Caenorhabditis elegans: one gene and its partner. The protein of the gene in region 1 purifies or fractionates together with the protein of each later gene. This does not show direct contact. Each region holds a gene or a part of one and is shown in the gene's direction. Other genes may lie near its edges.

Evidence for each region.
Region 2: the proteins of rme-1 (region 1) and chtb-1 purify together in Caenorhabditis elegans (affinity purification with western blotting, with the first as the bait; one study listed by BioGRID). This does not show direct contact.

What each region holds. Positions count from the first base shown.
Region 1 is NC_003283.11:6,207,838-6,213,890, forward strand, and holds the start of rme-1 (Dynamin-type G domain-containing protein), read left to right. Parts: upstream 1-2,330; 5' UTR 2,331-2,438; coding exon 2,439-2,633; intron 2,634-2,849; coding exon 2,850-3,315; intron 3,316-4,084; coding exon of another isoform or gene 4,085-4,100; intron 4,101-5,878; exon of another isoform or gene 5,879-6,053. Other genes in the region: W06H8.2 (NADH:flavin oxidoreductase/NADH oxidase N-terminal domain-containing protein), read left to right, coding at 215-643.
Region 2 is NC_003281.10:9,352,549-9,358,601, reverse strand, and holds the start of chtb-1 (Chitin binding domain (ChtBD2) containing chtb-1), read left to right. Parts: upstream 1-3,256; coding exon 3,257-3,290; intron 3,291-3,634; coding exon 3,635-3,752; intron 3,753-3,799; coding exon 3,800-3,939; intron 3,940-4,202; exon of another isoform or gene 4,203-4,382; intron 4,383-4,830; coding exon 4,831-4,933; intron 4,934-4,977; coding exon 4,978-5,075; intron 5,076-5,127; coding exon 5,128-5,226; intron 5,227-5,276; coding exon 5,277-5,714; intron 5,715-5,880; coding exon 5,881-6,053.

The sequences.
Region 1 (6,053 bases):
TAAGGACATCAGCATTGAAAGTAGATAGTCCCACTGAACCTTTTGAACAATTTCTGATAATATTTTAGTATTTTTCTGAGAGTTTTAAATTTAACTAATTGTAAGTTTTAATTGTTTTTAATTGGACATTATAGGGGCATACATATACTCTACCCCTAAATAACTTCTTTCTCGGTTCCGTGCGGTACTAATTTTTATCATGTTTTTTTTTCAGATTCGCCCAGTTTTCAAAAACACAGTTGTCTACTTGACTGGAGGTTTCCGTACAGTTAACGCAATGGTTGAAGCTATCAAATCCGGAGCCACACAAGGAATTGGTTTGGGTAGACCGATTACTGCGGAGCCAGATCTCCCAAAGAAAATTCTGCAAAAGTTGGCCCCTTCAGCTGTCTTCGATGCAATTGATCAAAGTGAATTTGTCCTCTCACTTCTTGCGAGCAACACTCAAATTGAACAAATGGGACGGAACTCGCTGAAAGAAGCAAACAATGATGTCACTTACGGACTCAGTGACTTCAGTGATGAAGATACTGTGAAAAGATTTGGAAAAGCAGTTGAAGAATTCGCCGAACTTTTGAAAATTCAAGCATCTCGAGGTGTCGCAATTCCAAATGTGATCACATTCGAAGGAGTGAAAGCATAAATTATGCATGTTTTTAATCTGTTTTTTTCAAAATAAATTTGTAGCGAGATACATAAATGTAAATAAATTATTGTTGATTTACTTGTTTCATACATCCATCATTTTTCATAAATCTGTCGAAGTTTCAGGTTAGGATTTATTTTCTTGTGTAAGGTGGGGAAATAATCTGGAATTCTTTTAGAAGAAACTGTCAAAAAAACCGTAAACTCGAAATTATTTGATTGAATCATAGAGCCATTCTACGGGAATATTGAATGAAACACAATTGATCAATGCATTGAAAAAATCCAATATTACGTCAATAGGATTTACATAAACAGCGTACAATTGACACTATCATCTACTGAAAAAACGAAGTTAAAACCTTCAAAAGTTTCCATTCACGACTGTCATTATTGTATAAAATGTATAATTTTTTCCGTACTGTTCCACGAGCTAATCGAAATGAAATTACGTTCTATCCAGATTATGAAGGTGAGAAATGACGTAGCTGTGCAAAATTTTTGAAGCTCTAATTTTGTTTGAAAATAATTGAAAGAGTTTTGATAATAGAGTTTTTTCTGAATTTTAACACCTACGCAACTATGATTTTGTCCATAATATTGGGAAAAATGTATACGAAATATGGGAATCCGCATCGATTTTTGTTTTGTTCGTTTGTGTGCCGCTTTTCGGAAGGCAGCCACATTTATGTTCAAACATTGACCGTTTTGTCGACGGGGATATCAAAATTGTTGGATTTCTTATAGTTTGTAGCAATATTTTATTTATTTTTAACAATATTTTGGTTAATTGTTTTTGTATTAATTTTATAATGATTAAGTTTTGGATTGATTCTTCTTGGTTTATCAGAAAGAAAGAAAACATCGTATGTTTGCGCATCCACTCAATTCAATGTTCGCTCACAAATGTGCCCATTTCTGTGCATTTGAAACGAATATTTTTGAACTACATATATAATTACTCGTAGAGCTCATTAAAGTTTTCAAGTGTACCACTTTTGGATATAATTCTTTGGGTGATAAAATTCACCTCGAACATTCAACCTTGGCACAAAAAATTCCTGAATTCACCTGATTTAATTAATTCATATCATTTTTTGTGATTTTTTATTAGGCCACGTTGCACAACTTTTTATGTGTATTGCTTAAGCACAACAAAAAATTTACACATCGTTTTATAATCAACTTTTAAAAATGTTGTTTTTCAGCTTTACATTCTAATCTTTGGTCATCTAAATTAACATTTTTCATTCAATGTGAATCATAATCTCTATTGAATCTCTCTTCTCACACTTGTTACATCCTATTTCATCAGAAAATCAGCTCTTTTCAAATTGAATATTCTCCCGCTTACCTTTAAATGATCTATTAATTTTTGACTCCACTCAAAACCTATGGGATGTCAACTTTGTCGACCAACAGTAACAGACGAAGATATCGATAAAACTCTGGTTATATTCCGTAAGAAAAGCACCAATCCCTTTGAAAAAACTTCTGAGAGATTCTCTTCAACAAACCCATTCGGAGGTGAAATTGGTGAGTCATTTCCTATTTTTAATTCTATTTGTATTTCATCATGTTCTGGAATGTTTCCTCCTGTTATCATTGTTCTCCTTATGCTTTTTTTTCTTTGCAAAGTGAATTGTCGCGAAATAAAAATTGATAACAAAAAAAGTGTGCGAAACTTGTCTCCGCCTCGCTTCTCTTCTTGACAGTTTTTTGCCTCGAAACTTGGAACATTTCATCGACTTTTTACTGGATCATTTCCTATTCCTCTTACAACAAAAGTATCGATGGAGTCTGTGAATAGTGAAGAACACAAAATAAACGAGGCACCCGCGCCACCCGTCATTGTCATTAATAGCTCCACGAAAGAAGAGCAGGAGGCAACACAAACCGACAGAATAGAAGGGCAAATGAAGAAAATCGATTCGGTCTTTGATGAGCAGAATGTAGCGTCATTGGAAGGTGTCAATTCAAAAAATGAGGTGGGTATTTCGTTTTACTTTTGATTAATTTATTTTTGGTATACACAAATTTTCATAATGTTTACATTTTCTCTCCAACCCTGTCACATTTGGTTTTAATTTTGCGTTTTTGCAAAAGGTCGGCTTCCACCAAAATGAAGCAGTAGCAAGAAATTTGTACTGTGCACTTTTAGGATTTTTTTTTCACCACTTTAAATAAATTGTAACGATTTTCAGATTTCCGGATCGGTATCAAGTTCCAGTTTTGAGGAGCTGAACGCAGAGACTGAAGATTTATCAGAAAGAAGTGAAGTCGAAAAAGACGAAGATCTAGGGAGAGTTGTTGAAGAACATAAAGAACCGGCACAAGTTCCAGTAGAATCGGAAACTCCGGAAACTTCTAAAAAAGAAATCCACCAAGAAGAAGAAATCTCTGAACTTGAGAAAGTTCCTGAAACAGTTGAAGAAGAAATTGAAGTCGTCAATACTTCCGTAGAAATTACTGAAGTAAAGAAGGAAGTGATCGAAGAAGTTAAGATCTCAGGCCTCAAAGAAGAAGAAACTCCGGTTCCAAAAATGAGAGCTCAGCAGCAAGTTCCAGTTGCTGCTGACAGGCCAATCAGGCGGCTTTCGATTGCAAGGGCATCTATGATGACCCCAAAAGCATCACCTAAACTTGCAAAGTATATGGAGCCGGTTAGAGGTAGATTTGTAGATTTTTGTTCATATAATGTTTTATGCGTCTACTTTTCTGCACTTTTTTAAACAACTAGTTGGAGTAATGTGGCTATCAAATTTAGTATTTTTCCTGCCAAATCCCAATGTCGATCTGCGATCGCAGTTCGAAAGTTTAAAACAACCTTTCCCTATTAGTATTGCACCCCACTATTTGACTTTGACAGATTATATAGGCAGAGGTTTTTTTCTGAATCTGAAGATGACAGTGCATATCAAAAAACCATTGCATCACTTTTCTTTGTTTTCATTCTGGAAAACGAAAGAACGCTTTTCAAAAGCATTTCCCAATGCCATTCCTTTTCTATTTGGAGTTTCTATCCTGCAGACACTTGCTATTCTTCCCACACAGTTCGATTTTCCATTGATTGAAAAAATTCCTGACAAATGGAACTTCAAACCTTTTTGCTTAAAGAGCTGCACTTTGCATTATTCTTTATCATTGTGAGCATCATTCGTTGACAGGTCACACTGATAAACATTTGGTCAGTGCCAATCAACGCATTTTCATACTCTCGCTATACAACTTTTCTTTCACATCCTCCCAGTACTGGAACACCATGTGCTCTGCTAACTTGTAAATAATTGTGTGCAAACTGTTTTATGTTTGCTCCGTTGAGAGGCAAAAGAGACAAGACCGCCCGTCATAGCGCGAGAACAAAACTTTTATAAGTATTACAAGAATTTTGACGTGACCAACTGATCGGTATCTGTTCTATTTTTTCGGGCATTTCGAAATGAGTAATCTTTTTGGTAAGTATGAACAGAAAATGATCATTTTTAGAAACTCTAACACCTAAATGGATAGCGTCCGAGTTTTTTGGAAAAGTTATAAAATTGATGATCAAGGTAAGGTTTTTAGGTTGTGAAACGGCAGACTTTTCAATCGCGTTATATTTTGATAATCTAGTTATGGCTTTCAAATCCAGAAGTTTCTGATAAAAGAACGAGAAAATCAAAAATTATTTTTAGCTCTACCTTCAAGTTTATATTTTTTGTATTTGACATTATATGATTTTCAATTTCACCTCAATTTCACGAGATATTAATCAAACGCTTGAAAGCTTGAATTTCTTGAAAATTTTCTTGTAAATCATCTCATATTCTCGTTCAAAAGGCAAACGAAACATGGTTTCCAGGTTCTATATGGTGTATTTTTTTCAAACATTTCAAGCTTTCTAGCTCCAACGTTCTATTTATATTTTGAAATTTTGATAAATTCTCCATTTTTTGAAAAATTCACACGGTCTAACGAGCTAATCATCATGCCGCAATCATCGCATCTTTCTTTTTCTTTTCTTCTTTTTTCTCTTCTTTTCGTTTCTTCCATCCCCCTACTCGAACAATTCAATGAAATAACAAATCGGTTACTTTATTTTGATTCAATTCTTTCCTCCTTCTACCAAATCGTCTCAAACATCGTCCGCTTGCGGTTGTCTCATTTTTCTTGATGCATGACCCCTGTGGAATCGATAGTGCACAAGCAGTTGCTAGAGTTCAGTGCTCCGTTGAAAGAGAAAGCGAGAGCATTCACGTTATATAAACTCAAACTAAACTTTTCTCTTCCGGCCTGCTTTCAATTTTATTTCTTCCAAAGAATTTTTGAGTTGGGTCTCTTGATTGATAGTGGTTTAGTTTTTGATTTTGACTACTGTATACCTATAGGTAATGCATTTGAAGTTTGTTATTTCCGGGTGATTTTCTTTAAAGTTTTTGACTTATTGTTAGATAGTTTTTCGGAATTTCAGTTACGATTCACACTCCAAACATGAAAAGTTGAATTAGTTCAACACAACTTTTACCTTTTCAATTTTCTATCTAGTGGAACAGGACACCGATTATACAGAAAATATTGTAGTTAGAGCAATTGAATTGTTATTGTGTTGAAATTGTATTATGTTATTTCTCAAGCAACCTCGTGATTTTACAACAAAATATTTTTATGTCGATTTCTAGTTGGAACGCAGAATACTACTATACGTCATTCTATTGATTGCATATTTTAATTATATTTAGTTACTAATTTCAATTTAATTTGACTAAATCTAACACAATTTGTCCTACTTATTCATCAGTTCCATGAAATTCCAAGCAAATATTGTGGTTTCATATTTACACTGCGACCATTTGATATATGCGCTGGTTTTCCAACAAAAACCATTCACAGCAAGCAATTCCGACAATGCTTTTTTTGTGTGTGTTCTCTTTTTTTCCCCATAAGATCTTTGCAGTTCGGCCGGTGGGTGATGGTGGTCAGTTCGCGTATTATTTTGACTTTTTCGTCTGCGGTCTACTTGGTCCTTAGACTCTCTTGTCTGGCTTTTGCGCAGTCTGTCGGTCGATCTATTTTCTCGATTCGACTACCTGATCCATTTCTAATTTTTCCTCTTTTTCTGTGATTCTTGATTTTTACGCTCTCTCGGCAATTTGTCATGTATAGAACGTCAACTATTGATGTGACCAGATGATTGTACTGTGTTCCCGATTTCATATAATTCATGAGCCTTTTAAGATGAATAAAACATTCCTCAAAGAATATGACTTCAGTCTCAAGCTTCTGATACTACATTGACCAGTTCCTAATGATCTTTAGCATTCTAATCACTCAATTAACATAAATTTTCTCAACCCATCTAATTTCAAAACCAATTGACGGTCTCTAATTGATGTTCTAAATGTTCTAATTTTCTATTGATATTTCCTGTT
Region 2 (6,053 bases), on another chromosome or scaffold:
GATTCTTCTTGTTTCTATCTCTCTCTCTCCCTCTTCCTAGGTTCTCACAAATAGAAATGCGCTTGAAGCTGGCTCTGCTGGAGACAGTGAAGCACACTGATTTGCATGCCAAACATATGATAAGAAAATAAGAGAGAGGGGCGAGAGCCGAATTCGGTCAGGTCAAGAACAAAGAGCGCGCGCAAATTTTATAGCATAAGTGGGAGAAGACTCAAACAATATCTATCACATTGTTCTTATAGTGAAGTGTCCGAAATTGGAAAACTACAAAAAACATGTATTGTCGATAAATTTACCTCAACACTTTCTATTCTATATTTTACTAAAATCTTTTGCAAAAAAAAACCTTTACAATGTTAGAGAAAAAATCTGTAGATATATTTCTCATATCTTAATAAATCTGACCCCCACCCTCCATTCCTTTCCCTATGATAAGTTTGATGTTTGACTACTGATTTGCACTTTATCGTGACCAACCGGCACTGTATCAGAAAAACAGCAAAAAAGTGAGCGCGTTCGCTTTGTCTACGAGCATCCTAAAAACAATGATCATTTGAGATTGAACACATTTCGATGTGACTGTGGAGTCGCTCAGTTTCTAGTAAAGCTTCCATGAAGAGACAGGCGCGGTTTCAGGGTCTGGAACCTGTCTGAACTATTCTCTGGCATGACATGAAATTCCTGGTGTTTGCACCACGTGCAATAGTTGGTTCTTTCAAGGCAACCTACACTTTTCGGGTCCCAAGCAAAGCAGGAGGCTCGCGGTTTCAGGCAGGCGCGGCTATTGTTTTGGTGCCTGCGTTAACATAGTTTCTAGCAACGCACTTTGAAGCTGGAACATAAGTTTAATATCTTGGTCGGCTTTTACTTTGAATAAAAGTTGTCAACCGATAAAATCTCTGTTGTCTATAAGTCTCTATAAGTTTCTAATCATAAAGTTTCAAGGTTTGTTCAGAAAAATCGGAAATTGATATTATGTAGATATTATCTTTTGATTTCAAAGTAACATGTTTTAGGGAAATACCACTTTGTAAACATAACATGAACATACTTATCACTCGACCGCCTGGCCGAGCCTGGTATCCGCCGCGGTTTTTTTTGTCAAATTCGGGGTCCCGTCTTGTCGTGAGATGAAGGAGACACAACCCGCCGCCGCCCTTGTGATCTTTTTCCTACGAACACAAACCCAAATTCCTCAACACTATTTCTCTCCCACCACCAGCAGCACCAAAATCTGATAAAAAATGACAAGTTTTGTCGTAGAGACTCCGCGAGGACAACAAACAGTGGCACGAGCAATCTCTTTCGTGATATAGTGTTGCAAAAAGATGCGCTTGACAGCTTGTCTACGCCATGATGTTTTTTTTTGCTTCCGTGTCTTTTCTAGGTGCGAAAAAAGAACAAAAAAGAAGACAAGTCTCTCCGGATTCGGAAGATGGTTTTGAATGAAAAGTGAGATTTCATTCAATTACATATGAATATGGCCAGTTACGCAAGGAACGAACTGGATGCCATCGAGAAATTAAATGGTCTTGTACTTTTGCAAAAAGAGACCGGTAAAGAAATTAGCAATGATATGCATGGAAATTATTTTCCATTTCTTTTTAATGTACGCTGGAAGTTTTAAAAACAACATTATCTTATTATCAGTTGAGCGAAAAACGCTAAAACATAAGTTACCGAATTTGCATTAACTCAATTGAATTTTTACAGTTACTTATCAAAAGCGGCTTAAATTTTTGGCTTCATCAATAGCACGGAAATTTCAAAATCGGAATGCGCTGCCAACGGATAATCCAAAAACAAAAATCGTTGTGAAGCAGTAATAGATTCAAATTAAAAGGCTTGAAATTAAAAAAAACTGAGAATAAATTTTCACAGTCCATAATATATTAGCTGCCCTGTCCAGTTCAAATTGCCTGACCAACATCGCATCGTATTTGACTAGAGGTGTCTCACTAATTGCGTGCATTGCGCACTTAGAATAATGGAGTTTTGAATTACACGAGATCTTACAAAAATGCGCGTTGTTTTTTATGTCCGGGAATTTGGATTTGGAGGGTCTCAATTTCACTTAAAAGTGGCAATGACTACAAGTGGCAGAACAGTTAAATTACAATGACTCGGTCGAATCGAAACCGAATGTGCACTTTGCAACAGTATACGAGTCGCGGTGGGCGCTTGGTGCTCGATTTTTGTTGGAAATGTGTGCATCGCGCGTCCTTCAATGTTATGGAAATATGCAGTAGTTCCGGAAAACATCATATCATTTTGAAACATTAGCTACATATTATTCGATACATGGATGGTGGATGTTTTAAGTCTTCAAAACTATATGTTTTCAAGAACAGATGTCAAGACTACTGTAGACTACTGTACTGTACTGTAAGACTACTGTAGGTCAATCACTTCCATCATAATCATAAAATTCTTGTGAAATCAACTATAAAATTACGCCACCCTCATCATCACTTCCGATTATTTGTCCTCTTTCATCCGTGCCCGGAATTCGTCCGCGCTGGTCAAGTTGAACTCGTCGACTCTTTTCTTGCCAAGAAGTTGCTCAACCCCCAAAAAACTTGATCCAGTGTTTCCTGGCGGCGGTTTTACCTCATCTGAGACGCCTTAGTGTTGCTCCCCCAAATAACCCTAAAAAAGGAAACAATAGTACTTTTTCGCAAGAGAGACCGCGACCTCGCGCGCGCCTTCTATTCTCGTGCTCATAAGCGCCGAGCTTCTATTTTCGGCCGACTTGATGTAGAAAGAGACAGAGAAAGAGTACTGACCTCTCTCCGTCTTCGCCACCTTCTCAAGCGTCGTGTGCGAATCTCCGCACCGGTACAGTATACGCGGAGAGGAGAAGAGACGAAAGATAGAAACGAAGAAGACGGAGAGGGCGGCGCGTTTCGCATACAAACCTCCCCAACCCCTCGGAAGCTTCCTATCCTCTAGCTCTCACCCTACCTGCTTCATTCGTTCTCTACCTCACCATCGGAGAGAAGACACATTTCACATCTTAACCCCCACCCACAATACCATTATTTTCAAATTCCGTCTTCTTGTTGCTCCGTTGTCTCCTCCCCTTATCTCCCACCCCATCACAGCCTTTTATCACTTTATCAGTGTTCAAATTTTCCAGCGTGGCAATTGTTGTCGAGTCCACCAAAAGAAGAAGAAGAAGATAGCAGCTTTGTTTTCCATCTGAATCGACCACCTTCTTCCATTTATCATATAATCACAAAGCAGTATACACATAATGCTGCGCAATCTCATTTTAATCACCCTCCTCGGTAAGCTTTCTTTCAAATTTTATATAATACATTCTAGATTCTGTTTATTTTTGAAAAATGTTAGCTCTAAAATTAAATACTCTCTCTTGAAAATCTATATTTTTCCATATATTTTCAGAGGCAAAAAAGTTTCTGAATAGTCTAAATTTGATCTTGAATTTAAATGGGTTTATACATAAAACTTATCAAACTTATTCCATCTTATAGTTTACTATTCAACTACTAGATTGCAAGAATTTGTCTGAAAATCTAGGCCTGAAATATCACTGTATTTTGAGAATTTAAATAATAATAATTTCCCATTCATTTTTCTTATCATTTCTCAAACCAATTTTAATTTACAGTCGCTTCTGGACATGGACAGACGCCTGTAATTGGCGGAACGTGTAAACTTGGAACTGCTGATGTTCAAATTGGAGGAAAACAGACACAGTTTTTCCTCAAGTGCGAGACGACAGCTGAGTGAGTTTCATTCAACCAAAACAACTGAAAATCTTTCATTCTTTTAGTAGTGCCGAAGGTGAAGGTGTCTGGGTTGTGAAGTCGAGAGCCGCCGCCGCTCCTTCATCAGTACCATCTGTTCCAGCTGAAAATACACAGCCACAACAACATCCAAAAGCTCGTAAACCAGCTTCCCCGAACATTTGTGGTGAGTTTCTTAGACTTCTTATTCTTCTTCATCACCAACATTTATTCCTCTATTTTAAATCGGTGGAAGCTCTTAAGTCAACTAATGAGCGAGCCCACTTCTGACCGCAAATAAACATCAACCACAGTGGTCAACAATAAGTTGAAATGAACTGTTACGAGCGATAAGGTATCTAGGAAATTGTAGAAGAAAGAAAAGTAGAAAAAAGTGGAAGTCCGACATCTCCAAGCCATATTTGCTTATGCTTCTGACAGTGTTTCTTGTGTATTTGTGTGTTTACATTTAATTCTTTTCCTTTTCCTCTCACTCAATTCAATTCATTCCAAAAAATAAAACACACACATACAAACACACAAACATCACAAATAGTGTGTAGATATTTTGCCAACGAATTCCAAAACTAGATTCACTACATTTCTTGTGACCAAATTTCATCATCTTTTCGAGGAAATTCGAGGAAAATGCGCCACTTTTGTCTGGGATCCTTTGTTTCACAATTCCATTATTTGACCACTCTAATGAACGCAAATGACCTAAATCCTCTTGATGGGAATGAAGAAAAAAACGCAACTTGCGGTGTCTTGCAATTCCTGCTTGCTCCGCCGGCTTTTGTCCACCACTCACTTGCGCACAGTGCGTTGAGAGTCGCCGGCGCGTGACCAAGAGGGGGTTCAACAAATAGGTCAGAAGGTTGATAAGAGAGTGTTGGAGGAAGGGATACGCAGCTCGCAGAGCTCACCAGTCGCCGCCGCGACCTACCGAGGAAAAGTGTTTTGTTTTTAAGAACCCCAGCGAGAAAAGACAGAAGGGATAACTTAATGAGATCGGGGATTTGGTTTAAAACTGAAATTTCATCTTATTATTCTAAATCGATCAATAAAATATTTTCAGAACAAGACAATGGAGCCCGCGAGAGCGAGGTCTGTGCCGTTTCAGCCACCTGTCTTCAGGCTCATAACGACTTCCCATCTTCCTACCTTCAATGTGACCAAACGTAGGAAACCGTTGCATAATAAAAAACAAAATGTTCAATTCCAGCACTCTCCGATGGGTCCGCAAGTCGTGCCAAGAGAACTTCTTGTTCAACTTTGAGCAACAAACTTGTATCGTTCCAAAGAGAATGAGCTCTCTCTCCCGTAAGTTGTTTTTATGATTAACCACATATTATTTCACTAATTGCTTAAACAGCATCAACATCTTCCCCATCTAACACTGAAAATCCCTGCTCGAAATGCCCACTGGGATCAGCTTGCCGCAATGGTAACTGTATCCCTTTAACAACTTCAAGTAGGTTCTAATCACACTTTTCCCGCCTATGATCTCTAACTTTCCATTAGATTTGTGTTCTGATGGTTCTCCTCCTAATAATACATGTACTCGGGATCCGTACTCTTGTCCCAAGGGACATTTTTGTACCGCACAAAAAGTGTGTTGCCCTTCAACTGCATTGCAATCATCAATTGGATGTTCGACGGTCTGCACAATCGATGAATCGTGTCCAAAAGGAATGACATGCCAGAATAACTGCTGTGAAGAAAGAAAACTACTACGACATCCAAAAGTATATCGATATGCAACTGTAGAGGCAACAAATACAATATTTGAAGTGGATAATGATATTTTTGATAGTGCTGCAATCGAATCACTCCCAACTCAAAAACCGCAGCGACTAGATGAAATTATGGCTCCAGGAATCACACCAACTCCGACAAGAACCACTGAACCTCCAAAACTTCGATGTTTGAGTAGTAACACGGACGAGGTCAATTCATTAGGTGCGTTCACTTTTCTTCCTTCCTTTTCTCATCTGTTTGTGGTCACTTTAAAGTATTTCGGAAAGAGCGCTCTCCGTTTCCACCACTGTTTACAAAGTAAATAGGAGCCTAATGAGAAGCACGCGCATTAGCTAACCACCTCATTTCATCAACTGTACTTTTATAGGCGGAGCATCATCATCATCTGCAACATGTGGAGGAACAAATGCGAATTGTACTTCTGATGAAGATTGTCCAACAACCTTCAAATGTTATCAAGGTTGTTGTAAATTGGCTGTATGTCCGAGAAGTCTAACAGCCGTCAAATTCACATGTAAAACTCAATATCACTGTAGAGCA